2 linked regions of the Drosophila melanogaster genome follow. The gene in region 1 interacts genetically with each later gene. Each region holds a gene or a part of one and is shown on either strand. Other genes may lie near its edges.

Evidence for each region.
Region 2: of ab (region 1) and bi, changing one enhances a phenotype caused by changing the other (phenotypic enhancement), as found in Drosophila melanogaster (one study listed by BioGRID).

Annotation. Positions count from the first base shown.
Region 1 is NT_033779.5:11,206,012-11,216,622, forward strand, and holds the start of ab (abrupt), read left to right. Parts: upstream 1-4,666; 5' UTR 4,667-4,736; exon of another isoform or gene 4,737-4,762; intron 4,763-5,756; 5' UTR 5,757-5,952; intron 5,953-10,611. UniProt on the Drosophila melanogaster protein: Expression is vital for development; may be involved in transcriptional regulation. In embryos, muscle specific expression is required for segmental nerve b (SNb) motoneuron target recognition within ventral longitudinal muscles.
Region 2 is NC_004354.4:4,407,673-4,418,624, forward strand, and holds the start of bi (bifid), read left to right. Parts: upstream 1-5,183; 5' UTR 5,184-5,248; intron 5,249-5,789; exon of another isoform or gene 5,790-6,227; intron 6,228-10,952. UniProt on the Drosophila melanogaster protein: Essential protein that may function as a transcription regulator. Vital for pupal development. Required for proper development of the optic lobes and wings, and abdominal pigmentation.

The sequences.
Region 1 (10,611 bases):
TACTAGATAATTTTAATGTGTTACGGTAGCTCAGCATTAGCAGCAGCTTGACCCAACTCAATTTTCACTTCGCATCTTGTGTCTTGGCTTCATTCCACGTTCGGCTGCAAAGAAATTTTCGACAGGTTATTGAGCTTAAGTTTTAGTTTAATGATTTCTTTGCAGTTAAAGCAAGCCCCGTTAAATCAATTTTTAAATCCTAGCTAATGCAAACGTACGCATTTCACAGAGATCATGTTTTGAAACATACTTGCCAATTTCTAACTGCTGACATATTGTGCATATTTATATAGTTATAATAATTTAGAGGGCATAAGATATTTTAAATATAACCTGCCAAGTAATAATGTTCAATACCTAGCCTACGTAAAACTAACAAATACGTATCCATCATATATTAAACGGAAATTTACATAGCATCCTAATTTACATCTCGTTTCGGATGGATAAAACCGGCAGCAGTAATTCGAAATTTCAAAAACCACGTCTTCACAGACTGCGTAATACGTATTCAAGTCGGTTTTATGCGGTTATGCCCTCTAAGCTCGGAGGCAACTGTACCTTGTGCAATGCGATCGCGATCGCCGCCATTTTGGATTTTCAATGTGGAGAGTAATAGAGCCAACGGCACTTAATCCATAGACTGCGATGGCCGACCAACTTATATTTCATGCATATAAAGCACACACCATCGAATACTACTCACTCATACACAGCAAAGTACCCATTTATCCAGACGCTTTCCAACTTATTTTACATAATAACCTAGGTTGTACCCACACGAATACAAATACACCACGCTGACCAGTACTAATACTCTTATAAGCCTTTATTTGCGTGTTTTTGTTGGCTATAAAATTGTTTTTTCTTTATCATAATTAAATTCATGGTTCGTGTATCATCTTCAAAAAAACCAAACCGATGGAAACACTCTCTCGATCTTTCTCTCGCTCTTTCGGGTCTTAATTCGTGCGCCGCAAGGTGAGTTGAGCGGTACAAATAAACGAATGTATGTACATATGTACAGTCATATTTACCTTGATCATTTCTATTGTCCACACACGTTCGATAGAAAAGGAGGGCAACAATGTGGAAGAGAGAGATGGAAGGTCGCGTGTGTGTGTGTAGGCAGGCTAAGATTGCTGGGGCTCAAATGAACGGAATGCTCCTAAATTACAGATGGTGGTTACTAGATAGATAGTTTACCTCTACAAATAATGAATACTTAAGTAGTATAAATATAAATTTAAAAAAAAAGGAAATGGATATTGCATAGGATTTTATAAATTTTTAGGATAAAGGATCTAAGTGGTAAGGCTTTCTTTTCAAACAATGTTGTTTTAGCTCAGTAAATCCAAATACTTATAGCTGAATTTTGTTTTCCAGGGTGTTTACCAAATCGCAACCATTATACAGTGATAGTTTAAGTTGTTGAATTTAATTATGCTACCGTTGGGTCTACAAATTCCATCCAATCTAAGACTGTGGGGTAAACTCAAGCAAAACGAAAGCGCCACCCATCCGAAGATGGCTCTCAATTCCCGCCTCACTCACACCTTCTGCTGCTCGGCGTTTTGCCTCCCCCAACCAATTTTTCACGTACACGCATTTCTTTTGATAATTTCATAATCATGTTTCTATTTTTCACATTGATAACTCAGCCCGAGATCACCGGAACTGAGAGCTTTATGGGACGCAGCTTCGAGTGTCAATAACTCATCCGCTGACATCGAATGCTGGTCGCCAACGCAACTGCTAAGCCCCCCCCACTCCCCGACCCACTAATCCGTTGGGGAAACTCCAGGAAAACCCGCTTGAAATTGCTGCACGAGCTGCAAGATAAATGAAATGTCATTTGCCTCGTGTGCAACAGATCGGCGTCTTCATTCCATGGCTGATATATCCCCCTATTAGGCATTGGAGTACCCAACTTGGATGACTCCATTGAAGGCAGAACAGAGGAATCTGAGATGAAAAATAAGTGGATACTGAATAATTATTGATCAATTATATATCACTGTTAACAAGGAAAACATTAACGCATAGAAATTAGATAGTTTTGTATTTATTTGTAGAGAAAACACTCTTGGTTCGTTATTTACTTTGGACAAATCAGAGGATATTGAAATATTTAAAGATATTTCATTTAATAATTGTATTGTATTATTTGTGGAACTAAATTAAAATATGTACATACGCAGAATGTGAGCAATGGACCAACACAGCTTTTATATACATGCACCACTAAAATAATATCAAAATCACACAAATGTCATAAACAGAATCCATTAAAAGCAACCTGAAAATACTGATTCTTTTTATTAAAAATAAACTTGAACCACCCACGAATTCAACTGTTGTTGTTCTTATTAGTTTCATTTTTTCCAAGCAATTTTTGTTCGACCATTGAAATGCGTACGAGATTATTTAGACAGATCGTGGCATTAAAATATATGTACATGCTTATATTTATATATATACATATATGAGCACAGACATATATTAAGCGCATACATCCGAATATTTTAATTAGAGTATAGATAAAAAATAACAACAACAAAGGAAAAAGAGACGAGCAGAGAAGAAGTGAACGAGCGGGGGGCTGTCAGGGGCGGAGGCAGCAACAAATATTAACAATAATTATACCCAAAATATAAAGACGCGGCGACACCTATTCCATATAAATTTTAGGTTTCCACAATTTTTTCACTCACTCTCGATAAAAATAACATTCCACACGTACACACACAACTAGATGGGATGCGGTGGGGCGGTGAAGAAACAGATTTGGGAAGTGAATTTTGGACAGTACCTACACACCACCACCACCCATTCTTGCCCCTGGAAGAGTGGAGGGGGGGGGGGGTGCTTGTGGGTAAAAATAAATACAAATGTCGCCGGCATCAATAAGATATAAATTAAAAGCGTACTACAATCCCAATGTTAATTAGAGAAGCACGAGAAGCGAAGAGAATGCAGCGGAGGTGGGGCCAAACATAAAACTAAGGTGGAGCGAAGTGAAGCGAAGAATGAGAAATTCAGCCCCGCTACACTGAGATAAAGTAGTGGAAATCTTTTAATTATGAAATACATTTTGATATCCTAAAAGGCAAGAATTGTTAGCTATATATAACAATTAACAAGATATATTATGAGTAGTTAACACAGAATTGCAGAAGAATTCTTAAACATTGAAAAATTTTCTAGATTCTTTCTTATAGTGCAAGATTATATACCCATTGAGTTTGGGTATGGAACTTTCCTCCGCCCAACCAATTTCATACCTCGCTCCAATGGAAGCGCTTGACGTGCTGTCGTGTATCTATTAGATACATTAGCTGCCGCATGCCACCAACTTGCGCTCCCTTTTTGGGAAGCTGTAGCTGCATCTACAGATCGTTGCATCCGAAACTCTGTGCATTTGTGGATCGTTGGGATGTTTGGTGGTGCGGCGACAATTTCGGTGTTCTGCCATTTGGAGTGTTTTTACACGTAAATTTATTTTGTTTTTGTCGACTTTAATAAAGTTGCATCTGCCGAGGGGTGGCACCTCATAGCTTTAGCGTCTGCCGAAGTGGGAGACAAACTTTATTTATTCCAGCCTCAGGCAGCTTAATGACTTCCTGCAGGGGCGGCTACTGCGAGAAATCGGAGGAGGGCAAGATTAAGGTGCGGTTCCAGTTCTCCACGGAACTGTCTTCCTTTTTTTGAATTATTATTCTACCATAAAGCTCCGCATATCTAAGGAAAGTATGGTTAGGGAAAATACATCATATTAAGTATATTCATGTATCTTTAGCCTTATTGTTAAATTACACTATTATTGGACAAATATCTGTGTACATTCATTCGTTTAGACATCCGTTTAGAAAATTTAGTAATTTGCACATTTGAACGTTTTTCCTTAGCTGCGTCATTTTAATTACAATTTCAAATAAGGTCAAATGATTTATTGAAATCCGTCTCACAACTACAGTGCATTCCAATGACTAAAGTTATGCTTGTGTCTTAGTTTGTTTTCTTATTTGGTCCACATTTTTGTAAGTAAAGTTAAAGTAAATTAAAGTATATTTTAATTCAAAAATTAGGGTTAGTTCATTTTTATATTTATTTTTGTACTTAAACTTACATTTTACATTTCCTTTTCAGACTGAGAAATAACTTAATTCGATGAAATGCTACTTTATTTATGGAAACTATAATTTATCAGAGAGCGCACATTTTATCGCACTTAACACCCAATGAATCAAAAACTCGGGCTGCTCTCTTCTACCGAAAACTTTTGGCCAAGAAAGCGCTGGCAATTCTGCAATTCAATTGGTCGGCCGTCCGTCTTTCTTTCTTCTCGGGCTCTCTGCAGTCTTCACCTTGCCACTTTGCCCGGTTGGAAAAGTAAACACAATCTGATTGTATGGCTTAGATAATAGCCCCCTTGTGCGCCAGTGTGTGTGTGTGTGTGTGTGTCTGTGAGTGTGTTGGCCAGTTGGAGGAGGATGGGGCTAAAAAAAAACGAGTGAGAAACCACCGACGCGCTGCATGCAACATGTTCGCCGTCGAACGTCAAACGACGAGCATCGAACGTCGAACTTCGAACATCGAACGTGGAGCCGACGAAGAGTGCGTCGGATTTTACTTACCGCTTACGAAAACAGGAATTCTTATTACGCGCAGTACAATTTCAGAAATCAGACGGGCAGCAAGTGTCGTGGTTCAAGTGCGGCTAATTTGGCTTATATGTGATTTTCAGTGTTTTGATGGCTTAGTAAACTATCAGAAACACAGAGACAACTGAATTTGAACTTCTCAACTAAATAAATACAAACCATAACATAACTAAAGAAAACAAAGAACTGTAATATAAAATAAAAATAAATTAAAAACGAAAAACTATTAAAATGCATATAAACCCGAATTGGAACGAATAAACTTGGTGCTGTTAACTGTTTTCGAAATAAATCCAAGAAACTTCCGTTCCTAGTGCGAAACTATAAACAACAAGAACTGCAGCGGCGACGCGTCGGCAAATTGGCATAAATAAATAAAATCAGCGACGTTTTTTTCTGCTGCCGCTGTTCTTTTTTTACAACCCGATTTTTATGAATGAATGCAGCTAACAGGCAGAAAAAAAACCGCAACAAAAGAGCGAGATAGCGCGAGTCGCGTGCACAGGAGCGAAATCGTTGAAGAAAACGGGGGAAGTGGGGGCGGTTGTAAAAAAGCGGACAGGTTGTACCGTTCGATTGCCGCCCACCGCCCGTTTGTCGCCCACTTTTTGTTGTTATTATTTTTCGGTTTGCTTTTCCGCTTTTCCTCCTAGGCGACACACGCTCATGCTTGTCACTTTGTTGCTTTTGCTTTTCGCCTGTCAGCGGCTGTCACAAATCCGCAAACAAACACACAAACACTCACACACACACACACACGCAGCAATTGTTGTCGTTGCAAAATTAATAACGGAAGTTGTGCATTTTATTAATAAAAACGAAATTCACACAGAACCAGATTCACAATCGCAATCAGAATCAGAGAAAATAAAACCAGAACACGAAACTCGCTGCGAAAAAGAGCGCACGAAACAAAAAACAAAAACAACAAAAATCGCAAGTGCAGCGCGACGGCTTCTTCGTCTTCTTCTTATTCTTGTGGCGTTTTTCTTCTACTTCGTTTCGTTTGTTTTCCGCTTCTCGGAAAACCCAGGAAAATGCTCTCTGATTTGCCAGCGATTCTCATTCATTTTGTTCTTATTGTGATTGCAGTTGTGCAGTGTTGAAAAATCAAACTAAATTCAAAATCGGCTTTAAAGAAAACAAATTCATAAAGGGAAATACCCAAAGAAAATAACCCTCAGTGTTTCAAAAGTGTTCAAATTTTACAATTGTGGCATCACAACAACAAATTCAGCAATCATCGTGAATTTTCAAAAAGAAGATTAAGAAATCAACAGTGCAAACGGTAAGTTTTAAAACTGATTCTTGGAAATGTATGTACGAATCTGCTTGGATGGCAACTTTTTAACAGGGAATTTGATCGTTGAAGTCTTTGGGGTTAGTTCCAATGTTTGTTTTCTGACAGTATATGAATTTTAAGTTATTGATTTACTTAAATTTAATGTAACTAATATTCTGGAAACGAAACCAAACGAGAATCAAATCGTTTAAGCTGTTTAACTAGATCACATTAAAATCGTAGTAAAATAGAACTTTCTCGCTTCCCTAGACTTTTATAACTTTATATGTCATGATTTTGTTTTACATAAATTGAATTAGGTTAACAAATGTTTTATGACCGCGATCTTTGTTTGCGATCTCTCTCAGTGATCGTAAACCGAAGTTAATGGCTTACAAAATCGGGCTCACAAAAGGCGTCAGCATTTGGAATTGTCTTTAAACTAGTTGGCCAAAATGTGTGAATCTAAGAAAATTATGTATTTTTTGGTGTTACACGCTTTCTTGATTGGTCTGCTGCTCTTGAAGACAGACCCGAATAGTTGGTGTCCTCTTGCGATTTGATAAATGAATCTTGCAACTTAGGGAAAACGTTTTCGGGGGAATTTTCGTGTGCAGTAATTGCCAACTTTTTTGGAGGCAGTAGTGCTGTGGCACCCATAGGTAGGTAGTGTTGTGTGTTATGGCCAATAATGGTAATAGCAGCTAATGAACCTGACTCTCGACTGAATTTTTGGATTTAGTCTCGGAGTCGGGGGTCTGCGATACCCAACACCAAACACCATCGCGTAAGTGTAGATTCCTCGCCTGGGCGAGTGTTGTTTTTATTTTTCACCGGCCCGTTGAAAACAAACACAAATACGTAGATGTGGAAACCCGGGGATGCTGGGAAACAAAAGGGTCAAGGGGGCGAACAATTAACGCGTCGCTGTAATTACAGCAAATGGTTAAAAAAAAGGGGTTTGGGAACAACTAACCAGAAAAAAGACACAAAGAGAGGGAAAAATAGAAAATATTAATAATCAATAGCCCGCTAAAAGGCATCGATGGAGTCGGTCGAGTTGGTCGCGATGGTTGAGGCAATTTTATCGGTCATTGAACGGCCAAAAGAAGCCAATACCAGAAAGAGATTTTTTTACAAGCCGAAAACGCAAATCGTCGGACTTGGAAATTATGCCAAAAACTTCGACTTTAGACGCGGCAAGAAGCGATCGGTTTTTGGTTAATTACCCGGCCAAATCTCCGTTAACCTCCGGCGAAGAAACTTCGATGGCCTTTTCTGGGGGGCTGAGCAGTTAATTACATAAAAACAAGTGATTTGCGTGTGCGCTGCTGCTTTTGCTGCTGCCCACCGGCATCGATTCTCCAGCTCCGTTTCTTAGATTTTTTTTGTGTTGGGTAATTTTCAACTCGCCAACTTTCGGCCCGGCTAATTAGCGGAGAAAATCTGCGGCACAGGCCGAAAACCCATTTTTAGGTTGAACACTTGCGAGTGTTTGGTAAATGTCCAAGAACAGGTGACCTTTGACTTTAGTTTGAGGGCCTAAAGCATGATTAGGTAAGCAGGAATCAATTTAGAATTCAAAAAAGTCATTACATATTCAAATACTCGCATAAAGAACCTCCTATTAGTTGCTTACAAATTTTTCTTATTCCATAATTACTATTTTAAAACTTAACGCATAGCTTAACAAATTTGCTCACAGAGTTTGAGAGCTTATTTCATTACTTCAGTTCTGTAATTATATTCTGTGCAATAACCTTTTGCTCTTAGCTTAGATTGTATGAAAAAGTGCAGAATATAAGTACATTTTGGCCGTCATCTTCTCTCTAAAATTCTGCTTTATTTCATTATGTCTCAAATCATTCTTCAGCCTCGGTTCTCACTTTTTTCCTGCCCAGTTTTCGAATGACCTTTGGTTGGCGCCGTCTTCTCCGCATCCTTTTGCCCCACACTCCATATAATTTATCATAAAAAATAAAAGTTTTTTGGCTTTTTACGAACCTTTTCATGGGGTTTCTGCCCCCCTGCGGTCAGATGAAAAAAAAGTGGAAGGAAGCTGGACAATCGGCGCCGTGACTGCGTTCTAGATAAATAAGCATTCTTAATTATCCCTTTGCCTCCTTCTCTGGGGTGGCAAAAATGTTATAAACAATGGAAACCGCGCACTTAATGCGTTTTCTGTTTTCCAGAAGAAGGAAAAAAAAAACGAACGCGGCTGCGGCAAGTATTTTTCTTCATATTATTCATTATTTTGTGGCCAAAAAAGAAAATGTTTTTATTGCCTGCGAAAAAGGGTATAAAATGCTCAGTCGCCATTAGCCAAGGACCCGCAACCAAAACGACAACAATTCCAATCAAATGTAAAGGAGCAGGGCATAAAAAAAGGAGATTTCCAAGTGGCCCAAATGCCGAGATACTCAATGATGGGTGGAGATTTGGGTGTGAGAGGTCCAAAAAGAAATGCCGTCGGTAGATGAGATTTGGATTTCTGGCCCATGACAGGCCAGTGACTTTTCACTTTTTCGCATGTGAGCAAATGTGTAATTGAAGTTCCGCTCGAGAATAAAGAAGTGAAGCGGGCCAAGAAACAAAGGAATGTGGAGAAAGGACTCTAAGGACCTGGCCAAGCCATTCGATTCCAACGTTCGCCTTTCTCACTCGCCGACGGCGGCGCCTTGGCCCAAAGTATCGCGATTGCCGCATGAGTTGGCACAAAATCACAAAAATCAGTAAATCGCTCACAAAGTGCACGAAAAGTGCAGCGAAAATGAAAATGATGTGGCACTTTCTCAATGCTACCTGCCATGTAAATCATCAAACAAAAAGATCCTTCGAAAATATTATTGCAGGAGCATGGGACTTAAGCGGAATATACATATGTACATAGCTGCATCGCATCGATTTGGAGAAATATTCTCATCAAAATATTTGCACTTCTTCTTCGAGAACTCCTAACGACACCAATTGAGAACGTAAGCCAACGTAAACATTCGAAGTTTGAAGCTGCTGTCACAGTGGACAGTCGCTAAAGTGTACGAACTGGCTGTCCTTTTAATTAACTATGAAAAAAAGGTAAAAGATACAGTTACAGTTATTAAGTTCGATACTCTAGGATTTTGGTTAGTTTTAAATAATTTGAATCGCAACTAGATATGAAATATTCTATTTTTTTTTTTTTTTTTTTTTTTTTTTTAATTTTTATTATTTATTGAATCTTCCCTTTGTGTTAAGAGACTAACAATAAGTGTTCAAATCTTAATCTAACTTAATTAACTTTCACTTAGTGATAGTTTTTTTTTTTCATTAATGCCCTAATAAGTTTATTGCTGGGCTGGGAGGTCGTTGCGGTGCAGCCGGCTTTGACTGCATACTCGGATTAGTTTTCTTGCGAGGGGATTTGTATGGGTGGTCAGCTTTTCGTTATACTTCGTTTTTTTCTCAGCTATTACTTCGATTACTAATTTGATTTTTAGGTCTCTGTGTATGTTTTCGTTCCGAAGGTACCACGGCGCTCCAGTGATAATTCTCAGAATTCTTGACTGTGCTCGCTGAATAATGTCTATGTTACTTCTGGATGCGTTGCCCCACAGCTCGGAGCCATAAGTCCAGATAGGTTTTAAGACGGAGTTGTATAGAAGAGCTTTGAACTCCAGACTAAGTGGAGAGCGAGCATTTATGAGCCAGTGGAGGTTCCTTGCTTTAAGTTTAAGATGTTTAGATTTGGCTTCTATATGTTTGCGCCAAGTGAGCCGCCTGTCCAGATGAACTCCCAGATATGTTACCTCGTCGGCTTGTGGAATGCATATGTTATTCAAGACCAGTGGTGGGCATGTTTGTTTGTTTAAGGTAAAGGTAACCTGCTTGCATTTTTGAACATTTATTGAAATTCTCCAGTCGGCAAGCCATCGTTCTACAGATGTTAAGTGTCGGGATAGGAGTGCCGTGGCTTTTATTGGGCATTTCGAGCGACTGAGTATCGCGGTATCATCAGCGAACGTGGAGGTTGTTAGATTGTAGTCTATGGGGAAATCCGCCGTATACAGGGTGTATAAGATTGGACCCAGTACACTGCCTTGCGGCACTCCAGCTTCGATTGCGCAATCGCGTGAAGTGCTTGTATCGCATCTTATTGCAAACACTCTGTTATATAGGTATGACTTCAGTAGCTTATGTGTGTTTTGGGGCAACAGCTTGATTATTTTAAACAAAAGTCCATCGAGCCACACTCTGTCAAATGCCTGCGCGACGTCTAGAAAAATGGCTGTGCAGTATTCTCGATGTTCAAAAGCAGTACGAATTTCTGACGTGATTCGGTTGACCTGTTCGATGGTTCCATGTTTTTCTCTAAAGCCAAATTGATGTGTTGGAAGTGTGTTGTTTATTCTAAGATGAGGGCTAATCCGAAGGAGTAGCATTTTTTCAAACAGCTTTGAAAGACATGTTAGTAAGCTTATCGGTCTATATGATGATGGCTGCGTTTTATCTTTTCCTGGCTTTGGAATCATTACTATGGTCGACTTTTTCCATTTTTGAGGGAAGTATCCAAGCTTGGCGATTGCGTTGAACAACAGGCAGATGTGAAGAATAGCACACTTTGGGAGTTCAATGAGCATTCTTGGAGTTATTAGGTCGTAGCCAGGCGATTTTCTTGGGTTCAGTTGC
Region 2 (10,952 bases), on another chromosome or scaffold:
GGCTATGTTTCTGTTTCTGTTTAGGATTTGGGCCCTGGGCTCTGGGCTCTGGGTTCTGGATTCTGGGTTATGATTACTCCGGCCCTGCATCTGCCTCTGCTCTGTGCCATGATTATTATTGGCACATTAGCCGGCGACTCGCAGCCAAGTGGCGAGCCATCCAGAGCCACTCCAGGCACACACTCGACACTCGCCTGGGTCCGGATTCGAACCCCTGACCCAAGACCCCAGACTCCTAGACCCTTAACCCAAACCGCCACTGCGACAAAAAATGCAGAAAAATATTCGGAAAGAAAGCTCCGAAAAATGGAGTTTCAGTCAGAAAAGAAGAACAATGCAACATTTCATAATACGGCTATAGAAATCAGTAATGCCTTCATTCAAATAGATATAGATTGAAATTTTGGATACACACAAAATACACTGTCATTGCAGCATGCCTTCTTCTGCATTATTTCGCCCAGTGTAGCTGATATTTGCGAGGCGGAGCGGAAGCGTCGAACGGAACCTGCATATGTAAGCAAAAGCCAGCGGCGGTTTTTGGGTCCAACCCTTGGAATCTGGAGGGGATGGAGCTGGATCACATAAGGTGGAATGGGCGTCCAGTTGGGGAGGGGCAACGAGTCCAGGACGACAATTGTCGCGTCTAGAGGCACTTACGCTAAATTGCATTTCACTTGTGTATGCGTGCCGGGGAAAAAAGCAAATAACCGTACCGTACTTACCACATACACTGTTCGAAATACTTGAAGATTCGTTATTGCTGGTAAGTAGTAATAAAAGGATGATAGATTCAAAGAGATTTACATATCTAGAGTTGTTGAAACTATCTGACGAAATTCGTAAGTGCTTCTTTCCGCTTGCTTAGCACGCAATGTGTGTGTGTGTGTGCGTTTCGGGCCAACTTAAAACAGCTCAACGCGCATCTCATAATTATCTCCTCGCTTCGCTGCCGTTTTGAAGAGCCACCGCCACGGAGACAGTTTAATAATCGTCAAAATAGCCACCGAGGGGTCAGCAACGAAGCCATCGAACCCACTGTCCCTTCTGCACCAGCAGCCAAGCACCACTAGACGATCTTTTCCAGCCTTTCTGCTTTTTAGCTTGTTGCATGTGACTGCGGTGTCACATGTGTCTTCTATGTGCACTTCCCATCCCATCATCCCTGAGCATACTTCCATACAACCCAATCCCAATCCCCATGCCAATGTCCCTTTCCGTGTCCGTGACGATGTCCGTGTCCGGTCTCATAAGTTGGCCAAACACGCCATCTCCCGGAACTGGGAATCGAGCGTCGAGAAATCATGAGTGTCAGCTGGCCAAAGGCTAACGTTTGACTCTAAGAACTACAGGTCCTGCAACACTTGACTCATACACAAGGAAAGGAGTTTATGATAAAACTGAAGTGTACAAATTATATCACTAATATGACATTGGAGTTTTGTCTTTTGGGAGTCACAATTAAATGCATAAATAATGGTGCTTTGAGATTGGCTCGCAATGTTTATATTATTGAAAAATGAATGGAACAGAAGTGCATTGGAAATATTGATATTGATTAGGTATTACAATTTAAAAACGAATAAAACGTTGTGATTTGTAACGACCAGCAGAGCCTTTGAAGTCGCAATAAAGTGTGAATCATTTATTATCCAGAACATATTCATTTTGCTATTAGATTATATCAGATACATATCAAAAGTCTATATAATTAATTAATTAATTAGCTCGATTGCCTGGTAGAATATATACACGAGTACATTTATTGAAATAGATCGATGGAAGGAATCGTATGGTGGTCAAGTTATCGAGTTTCGTCATTTCTTTAAGCAGATTTTTATAGTTTGATTGGGATTGAAATCAGTTGAAAGGGCCAACTATATTTTTAATTATAATTTTCTTGCAATATAAATGAATATTAATTGCTAGTTTTTCTTGACTTGAAATTATCGTAAATCATTGGCAATGCATGAAGTTACAGCTTATTTGCAGATCCTTTGGCGCAGGAAAGTACTCTTTGCGAAAAGGGCACACCCAACTTCTAATTCCCTGGCGGTTTTCCACATTTCCCTCGCTCATTTTACAAAAACAAAACAATGCAGAGAAGACAACAAAAAAAAAAAGAGAAAAAATGGAGAGACTCTTGTCAATTCATAACTGAAAATGAAACGTTTTCCGCTGGGCTTGTTGTTTGTTTGCAGTTACCATTATTATTGCTACTGCTCCTGCTCTACTACTACTACTACTACTATTATTGCTGCTGTTTTGTTTCATGCAACTTTTACCATAATTGCGGGTAGCATTATGACATCGGGAAGCGACAAGCGAAACGCAACCTGAACATAATTACAACAATTTGTTGTCTAGTGTTTGACAACAACAGCAACAGCAAACAGCAACAAAGGCACAGAGCAAAAAGAAGCCGAGGAGATGATTGTTGTCATGGTTGAATGATGCAACTGGAAAAGGCAGAAAACAGCAGCTACATCGGCAACAAAAGTCACGCACATTGACATTCGCCTGGAGAAACCGAAAAAGATGACACGGTAAGGCAGCCAAGGAAAGGTGGGAAAGCCTGCAGCACGCCCTCCATGCACTGGGCAAAAAAAAAAAAGACATTAGAAATATCACTGGAAAAACGCAAAACTTTCCATGTTTTGTTTGGATTTTTCTGGGGCGTTAAACCTAAGCAATTCAGACTACAAATAATAATAATAAATATTACATATTTTTATTTGGGAACCCAGTATTTGGCCCTTCTTCCTTGCAGTGCAATCCTTCCCCCGAGGACAAGGAAATACATCTGTGGCAATGTGGCAGCTCCTCTGCGATGCTCGTCACACTTCATTTCGACGCTTTCAACGCTTGTTGCGCCTCTAAATTAATTGCCACAGCCTGTGCAGCGCCAAAATTTAATGCAAAGTTTAGCAAATACAAGGAGCAAGTGTATTCCTGACCCCCCAAACGCCACCCTTTTCGTATATCCCTCGGGATCGGGAGCTTCGACTAATTAGCAGGCGAGGCGCAGGCGCCAGAGCTGCGTAAAAAAGTCGGGCTATACGGAATAGCGAATCGGTAGGATATGCGCGCCACATGCCCCATTATCAACAATTGCACATTGCGCCATATTTTACAGTTGATTCTCATCGGCCATGGCAGATGCATTCAGGAACTTCTTACATGTTATTTTTGATGTTCTGGGCATTCGGAAATGGTTTGGCAGAGAAACGAAATGTACCCTCGTTTTTTAATTGCTACACATTTATTTTATAATTATTTTAAATTTAAAATTTTTAAGATTAGTGATCTGGAATTATCAAAAATTCAATATTTGAAGCACAAATTATCCAAAGAAATAACTGACGTATTAATCATTTATTTGTTTTGAATTCAATATTTATCTGAGTTCCTACATTGCGAGCTGTAATTTCATAATCACAGCAATATCTTTTCAACATTTTTCTTTTTTTTTAAAGAAATTTTATTTTTCAAAGTTCTGTGCTTCTATTATTTCTCCAAATTTTAGCTCCCTTTTCCGAATTTGAGCCTAAAATTTCGCGCCAAAAAACCGAATAAAGCCATATAGGTGAAGTGGAAACTGAGAAATAAGGGACACGAGAAGGCACGGAGACGGAAAAGGACATTTTTGCCTGTGTGACAAAATCGCTGACTACGTGTGTGTGCGTGTTTTCCTTCTCGCCATGTAACGCTATCTCGCTTCTACACGCACACACATGAACACAAGCCCGAGACTCCGCCCACTAAGCGATCGCGATGAGATGAGAAAAAAACTCACCACAGTCCGGTAAAAAACGCTCAACTCACTCACTCAGTCATACACACACACACACACATTCACTCGCTCTCCCACTCTTTCTCACCGAGAATGCGCATTCCCTCTGGCACTTGCCTTCTCGTTCTTGCGCACATGAAACTGTGTAAAATGGTCGCCTTGCAGGGGGCGTTGCTTTATGGCCGTCTTTTTCGCACCCATGCGAAAGTGCCGCAGTGTGAGCGAGAGGGAATGCGTTTGTGGATGGAGGTTTTGAAAGCAAGAGTAGAGAAGATGCGACGTTGTAAACGAATTTGCATATTTCTACTGCTTTACGCTTATTGCATATTTTATTCATTACGTTCTGGCGCTTCGGCGGATGAAAACCCAAGAAAAGGCGAAAAGCGAAGGAAAGTGTCATATGGCATTCCGACTACCGTTAGCTCTGCGTGACATCGGTCCTCCCTTTCGCACGCACAATCTTCATCCTTCTTTTTGCTTCTTGTTGAGCTTCTTCCTTTTTTAAGCTTTATAATTTATAAATTCGTTAATATATAAAAAAAAAGTTGCTTAAAATTCTAAATTCTCAGTTCAAGATATAAAAAATTCAACAATTATTCCTACGAAAATCCTTTTAAATAATTTCTTATAAGCTGTTAGCTCAATCTGAATACAGTCCCAACTATCTCTGGTTTTGTATATTTTTTCTGTAACTTAGAATTAATATTTAGTGTTTTTTTTAAAGCTGAGCTTTTTGTTTTTACTTTCATTTGATTACCAAGTATTTCCAACCCAAATATATACATATATATATGGTATATATATTACTTAACTAATAGCTACAATCATATTTACGTCTTAAAAGGATTCTTAGCTGTTTTAATATCTTAAAGCTGTTTCCAGATTTCATATACTTAAGGTCATAACAATGCCAACATCCTAGTTTGTTTTTTATTTGGCTCCTTTTACCCGAAATTGGTTCCACGTATTTCTGCAAATTTGTTTATTTTCGCTTGGCAGCGACTTAATCTGTGCTCCAGTTTTTCGTAGTATCCCCCCCCAAAAAAAATGGACACCATACACACACACATTTAACGGTTAAGCCGTTGTCCTTTTTTCCCAAGAAGTCAAAGGATGCGATTCGAATGTGCGTGAGTTATCCGGCGTGTTGTTATCCTGGCTCGGACCAAATAGGATACAAAAAAAACCTAGCATAAACCGGTTCTGAGTAAGTGCTCAATTACTCACACACACACACACACACATGCAAAGAAGTGCTCACTCAAAACGAAGCGAAACGAGGCGAATTCGTGCCTCTGCCTCTGCCGACGTCGACTGTGCTGCCGTGGTGGGTTTTGTGAAGCAAAGCGTCGAGCAGAGTGGCGAATAGCGTCATTCAAAATTGGAATTCTGTTAGTAAACGTCGACACTTCATATGAAACGAAGAGCGGAGATCACAGCGGAAAATCCAGGGGTGTACGTGGGTTTAAAACGCACAGAGGGATTTCACTCAAAGAAAGAAAGAATACGTTTATACTTATATAGGGTTAGACCAGGAGGGTAGGCTACGTATAAAGACAAGAAGAAGGAAAGCAAAGAAAGAATGGCCTCGCCAAGTAAAGCTGAGAGCATAGAGTGTAGGGATTACACAGAAGGGCTTTAAAAAGAAAATATGTAACCCACAAAATAGCAACTACAAGACTACCCACGACTTGGGTGTCAAAATGCTTGTCATTCGACAGCACGGCGAGGGGGAAAACCTATGCTAAGCTGGCCTTAGCTTTTTTGCCCGCGTGTGGTGAACATAACACGGGCCAACCCACCTCCCCCCACGCGATGGGGATTCCCCACTTTCGCATTCTGCCGGCGTCGCTGCGAACGTCGCTGCCGGCTTCTTGCACTTTGGCGCTCGGCGTCGTCTTGGCCCGGTTATTTGTTGTTTTTTTTTTTTTTTTCGTTTTTCGGGCTTTTCGGCTTTTTGGATCGTTCTCGGCCAGCAGTCGCCGCCTGTCACACGCTCACGTCAAACGCTTTTGCCGTCGCGTCGTCAGATAAACCAAATGTCTCGCCGTGTTTACGTGTGATTCCCCTTTTTTGCTTCAATCCGAAGGCAAAATAAATACACTGACCTTAACCGATACGGCTCACCGTTTAACCGCTAACCGTTAACCGTTTCGTGGCCGTCGACGATAAGGAATCAAGAAACAACATCACCCTGCAGATTCTGTTTTGTTTTGTTTTTTTGTGCAGTCCAGAATTTTTTGAAAACCTGACAAGATTAAAGAAAATTGTGTTTGAAAAGTGCGTAAAGTGTGGAGTATTTAAACTTAAAAAAAAAAACATATATAAAAATCAAACAACAGCAAGGTGGGAGGTCCAAAGAATATAAATAAAAAACACACTGGTTTCCGCCTGAGATTTTCAAAATACCGTTTCAGATCATGAAAACATAATGGTATACAAATATATTATGTTTATGCTGCCCTTGGAAATAAATAGTATACTATCAAAAAAATCTACTCCTTGGTTTTTCCCTACTTGAGAAATGAGAAATTTACAAACATTAAATGTAGAACTACTGATAATTACTTTCAATATTTTGGTGATCCAATGAGTTAATAGGAAAGTCCTTAAACAAAGCGTGGTGGAACTCCTTCCCATTATGATAATCACATCGCATAACACCAGGGAGATTGTCTAGATTGATTGATCCAACCCCCAGGAGATTCCCCATCCCGATCTGCTCAAGCGCAACGAAATCGGAACCATTATCCAATTAGCTAACTCTTTCCGAACCCGTATCATCAGTTTATCGCCTCGTCAATTGTTTTCTCATACTTTTTTCGCTACTTAACTGATGTGACAATTTGTAGCCATTAGCCGGAGGCAGTCAGTCAAACAGTCGCTAGATTTGCAAGTTGTTCAGGCATGACAAAACAAAAAAGAAAAAAAAAAAAAAACTATATATATGCAATGTATGGCGATGGATAAGGGGGGGGGGGAGAGTTGGGGAGCGGGGTTCCGGAGACGAGATCACGATCGCATCTCGACACGCAGCTAAAAGTGTAAATCAGCTCGCCTTCCATTATGTCAACAATCTCTTTGTCTGTCCGTATTATTTACATTTGTCAAATCAAATTTGACAGCTGCGGAAAACATAATATCTCAAGTCGGCGTCTGCGGCACAGTCCGGTTTTTTGTATGGGGCCTTATTCAATAGGGAGGGGATCAAGGGGATTCGCGGAGGAGATCGTAGCCGCCTAGGACCACCGATACAAACTTGTATTCAGAACTGGATTTGTCGCTTCGCTCTGTTGTGCCAAACGAACTGAGCCATGAACACAAGAATGAATACTTGGCCAAGCACTCGATCAATCTGGTCTCACACAAAGTTCTTTCACTTGAAGATGTACAAAAATAATTAGACATTTTTCTATTTATCTATTGTTATACGGAAAAGGATTTAAAACGTGCAAACATTTTGACTACTTGTTCTAATTTCGAAATACTAAGCCTGAAAATCAAGGATATTTATAAATCTAATATTCCAAGCCACTGGCTATTATCATTCGCGTTTACAGAGCAATGTTTTGTAGGAAAGGATTTTCCCCAGCACCAAAATAATTTTCTCTTTCGAGTAGTTTATTGCACTGCTTATTAGCGATTAGTGACTTTTATGACTGTTTAGAAACGTAGTACTCAACCCTTTTCGAAAGTAGGTAACAACCCTTAACCATTTGTATTACATATTAGAGAATGTTTTCTTCTTGTTTCCGAGGGAACATGCATTTTCTTTTTGATCCTCATTTAGTAGGGATTACATTATTACACAGTTGGAAATATATATTGTCTTGATCGAATTACGGAATTAAGTGTTATATATACCTAAAATAGTTCCAAAATACCACAACACATAATACCTATATCTTTTGCTGACTTCACCAATTAATTGGTGAGGTTTCCAGTCGGGGTTGTTCGTTGGTAAGCTGCTAACGGACTTATGACATGGATATGGCTATGATTCGGGAATCACGATTCAGTATTCCGTATTCCGTATTCGGTGGGGTATGTACTGTGTACTCTGCTACTATAAAATGCCAGCTCCATTGTTGTTGCTACAACCGGCGGAAGAAAACGGAAGAGGGGATTGTATTTTTTGGATTTCGGGAATTGGGAATGGCCTGGATGCGGCACTTATCCTTGTTTTTTTTTTTTTTTTGGGGTTGAAGGCAACAAACACACTGCACACTTAACCGATAAATACGCACCACATCTATATTATATGTGTGTGTACATACTCGTATATGGATGCGTGTACGTTTGTACATCCGATGGACAGATCCTTTGTATCCTGCTATCCTGGCTCTATCTATTGACTGACTAACACGCCAGCTGACTTGGCAGGGGAGGAAGAAGCCAAGCGCTGGGGAAGTAGAACCTGGTCCTGCTGTCTCGTGCAAAGCTGACTGACATCCAGCAACTTCCTTTGGCCTCAGACTTCAGCAGCACTCACGCAATTTTCCTCCACACAAAAACCCCCACCTAGCTGATGATGGCTTGCCGGGGGTGGTTCTCATTCGGGCGATTTTCCAACGTGTTGTAATCCCATTTGCAGGATTGCGGATTCAGGAATCAATTACGAATTTAATTTATAAGCAAAGCTCGGTGGAAAACTCAAGAGAATCCAACCCACAGCTCGTAGCTCGTAGCTCGTAGCTCGTAGCTCTCTCTCTCCTGGCAAGGGTGCGTGTGCCTGCAGGTGGGTAGAAATTGTATATAGTCAGCGGGAGGATGCTACTTGTTACGGGATCAAATTGATTTCGATGGAGATTGCTCTCGAAAAAACTCGAGGCACTTCATCGAGCCTTTTGATGGCGTCCAAAAAGTTTTCTGAGCTCGCAGCTGTCAAGTGCAACGTTGCCCCTTCTCGAAGATTTTCCACCCACCGTCTGACAATGCCAGAACTAAAATTCCTTTTCATACTTCTCATCTTCCTAGCATTTTTTTTTTTGTTATTTTTATTTTCTTTTCTGTTGGAAACATTGCTGGAATGATTTGGCCGCGGACATAAAAAAAAAAGTTTAAAGTCTTGGCAGCTGAAACAAACTCCGCCTCTGATTTTCTTTTTTTTATTTTTTTTTATTCCTTCTGTTGTGTTTTGAGTGGCTGTGCATAATGTATACAGCAAATTTTTGTCTAACAATTTGGCGCATTTTCACGCGATTTTTCTTCTTTATTTGTTTGTTTGCTGCTCCAGAGGGTTATAAAAATAATATATATGCAAGAAAGGAAAAACACTTGACAGTTTCCTTTCGCTTTAATTGCTATGCAAATTGCTAAGGGGAAATGCTTATTCAAAAGGATTTAGCATCCTTGGTTTTATTGTGCGCAAACTAAAGTTACGCTTTGCTGCGGATTTGTATGAAAAGACCTGACAATTCTCGTTAACTTCCCAAGCGGTTTTTTGTTGTGTCACATTTTCTAATTAGATTTAAACAAAATGACAGGGAAATAAGAGACCACACCGAAAATTGTGAATACTGACATCTTTTAAAGTTCTTACAAATTGCAATGTGTCGAACATCAAATCGCAAGATGCCAACTATTTTAGGATTGCAACTATAAAGGATTCAGTTGCCATACGTTTCTATTGCAAAATATATCTACAAAAATCAATTCGATTCCATTTCTTTCCTTCCATTTAATTTGACTTCTCTTTATTCTCGGTCTTGTCTCGGCTTTTATTCATTTATTTTCTTTCATTTTCTTTTGATGGGGAAAAGCTCAAACCGAGCGCAACTTTTTATGACAGCATCACTTGGCACTTTCAATACAATATCATAATGGCCAAAAGGAGCTTAGGAAAGTAGGTGAGGTTGAGTGTAACTAAAGTGTATTTCTATACCAGCGCCGACGCCTCGATTTTTGCCATTGTCTGGCCCTCTCTCTCTCCCACACACCCACTGTTTGCCATTCCATCTCTGTCTGTTACTGACTTTTACATTAATGAGCATGTTTTTATTTATAAGTGTTCTTTTCTTCTCCTCACAGCATTCCTAGCCATTCTCTGCAGTTCGCTTTGTTCGCCCACAAGCTTTGTTGTAACGCCCTGCATGGTTCGCCATAAACTCCCATTCGTGAAAACCCCACGAAAGACCCCTTCAAAATTTTCCACCCGCTGCCCTTTGGTTTGACATTTTTACTGGATATTTATTTTTTTTCGGGCTCTCGGACAACGCTCGATTTCATTTGATGTGCCCACTGGCGCGTCCATTTGGTCAGAATCATTTAGCTGATTGGTCAGAGCAATGATAAGAAATCGGGGAGATCACAAGAGAAAAGGAGATGCAGCAAATATATATCCAAAGATACTAAGCAATTCTATATGACAAGCATATATCCATAAGCGCATGCATTTCTATATGAAAAGTTGTTGTGATAGAATGGAACAAGGATTTTCAAGGATTATATTCTTTTCTTTAACTTTTGAAGATCTCGCAGAAATCTTCATATCGCATATCTCGAAGGAGATCCAACAACTCCAGCGGCATTCCATTAGTCAGCACGCAAATCGCCCGCCTTGGCGGCCCTCCAACTTCGATTTGAACTCCGGGGGCCCAGTGCAGTGTTGTTGTTTACCCATCGCACCTATAAAAGAGCCAGTGTTGGATACGGTGATTACGGGGGGGGGGGGGGAGAGGGGGTGGGTAAAAGTCCAGAGGGTGTGTTGACCCTTCTCTTTGAAAACTTTGGCATTTTCTTGCGCTTGTTCTTGCGGCACATTCACATGCTCTCCCGTCCATTTTAGCCATTGTGTGGCATAATTGCTGAACGCGTCGTCAGCCTGGCGCCTTTTTTATTGCAACGCCCCTTTGGCCAACACCCCATACACTCATGGAGTCATGGACTCAACAGCTCACCAGCTCACCAGCTCACCAGCTCACCAGCTCACCAGCTCACATACCCGAGCACACACACAGCCACACTCACTCACCCATACACATCCAATCCGACTGGCAAACAAACTTCGGCACACACGCACACAGCCGCAGGACCTGTAATGAGCTTCTGCCTCAGCTTTTCCAGCTTTTCCCTTTTCCGCTGGTCAGTGCAGCGGCACTTCAGGTTGCACTCGGCTATGTATGCATGTATGTATGTATGTGTGTATGTACTACCCTCT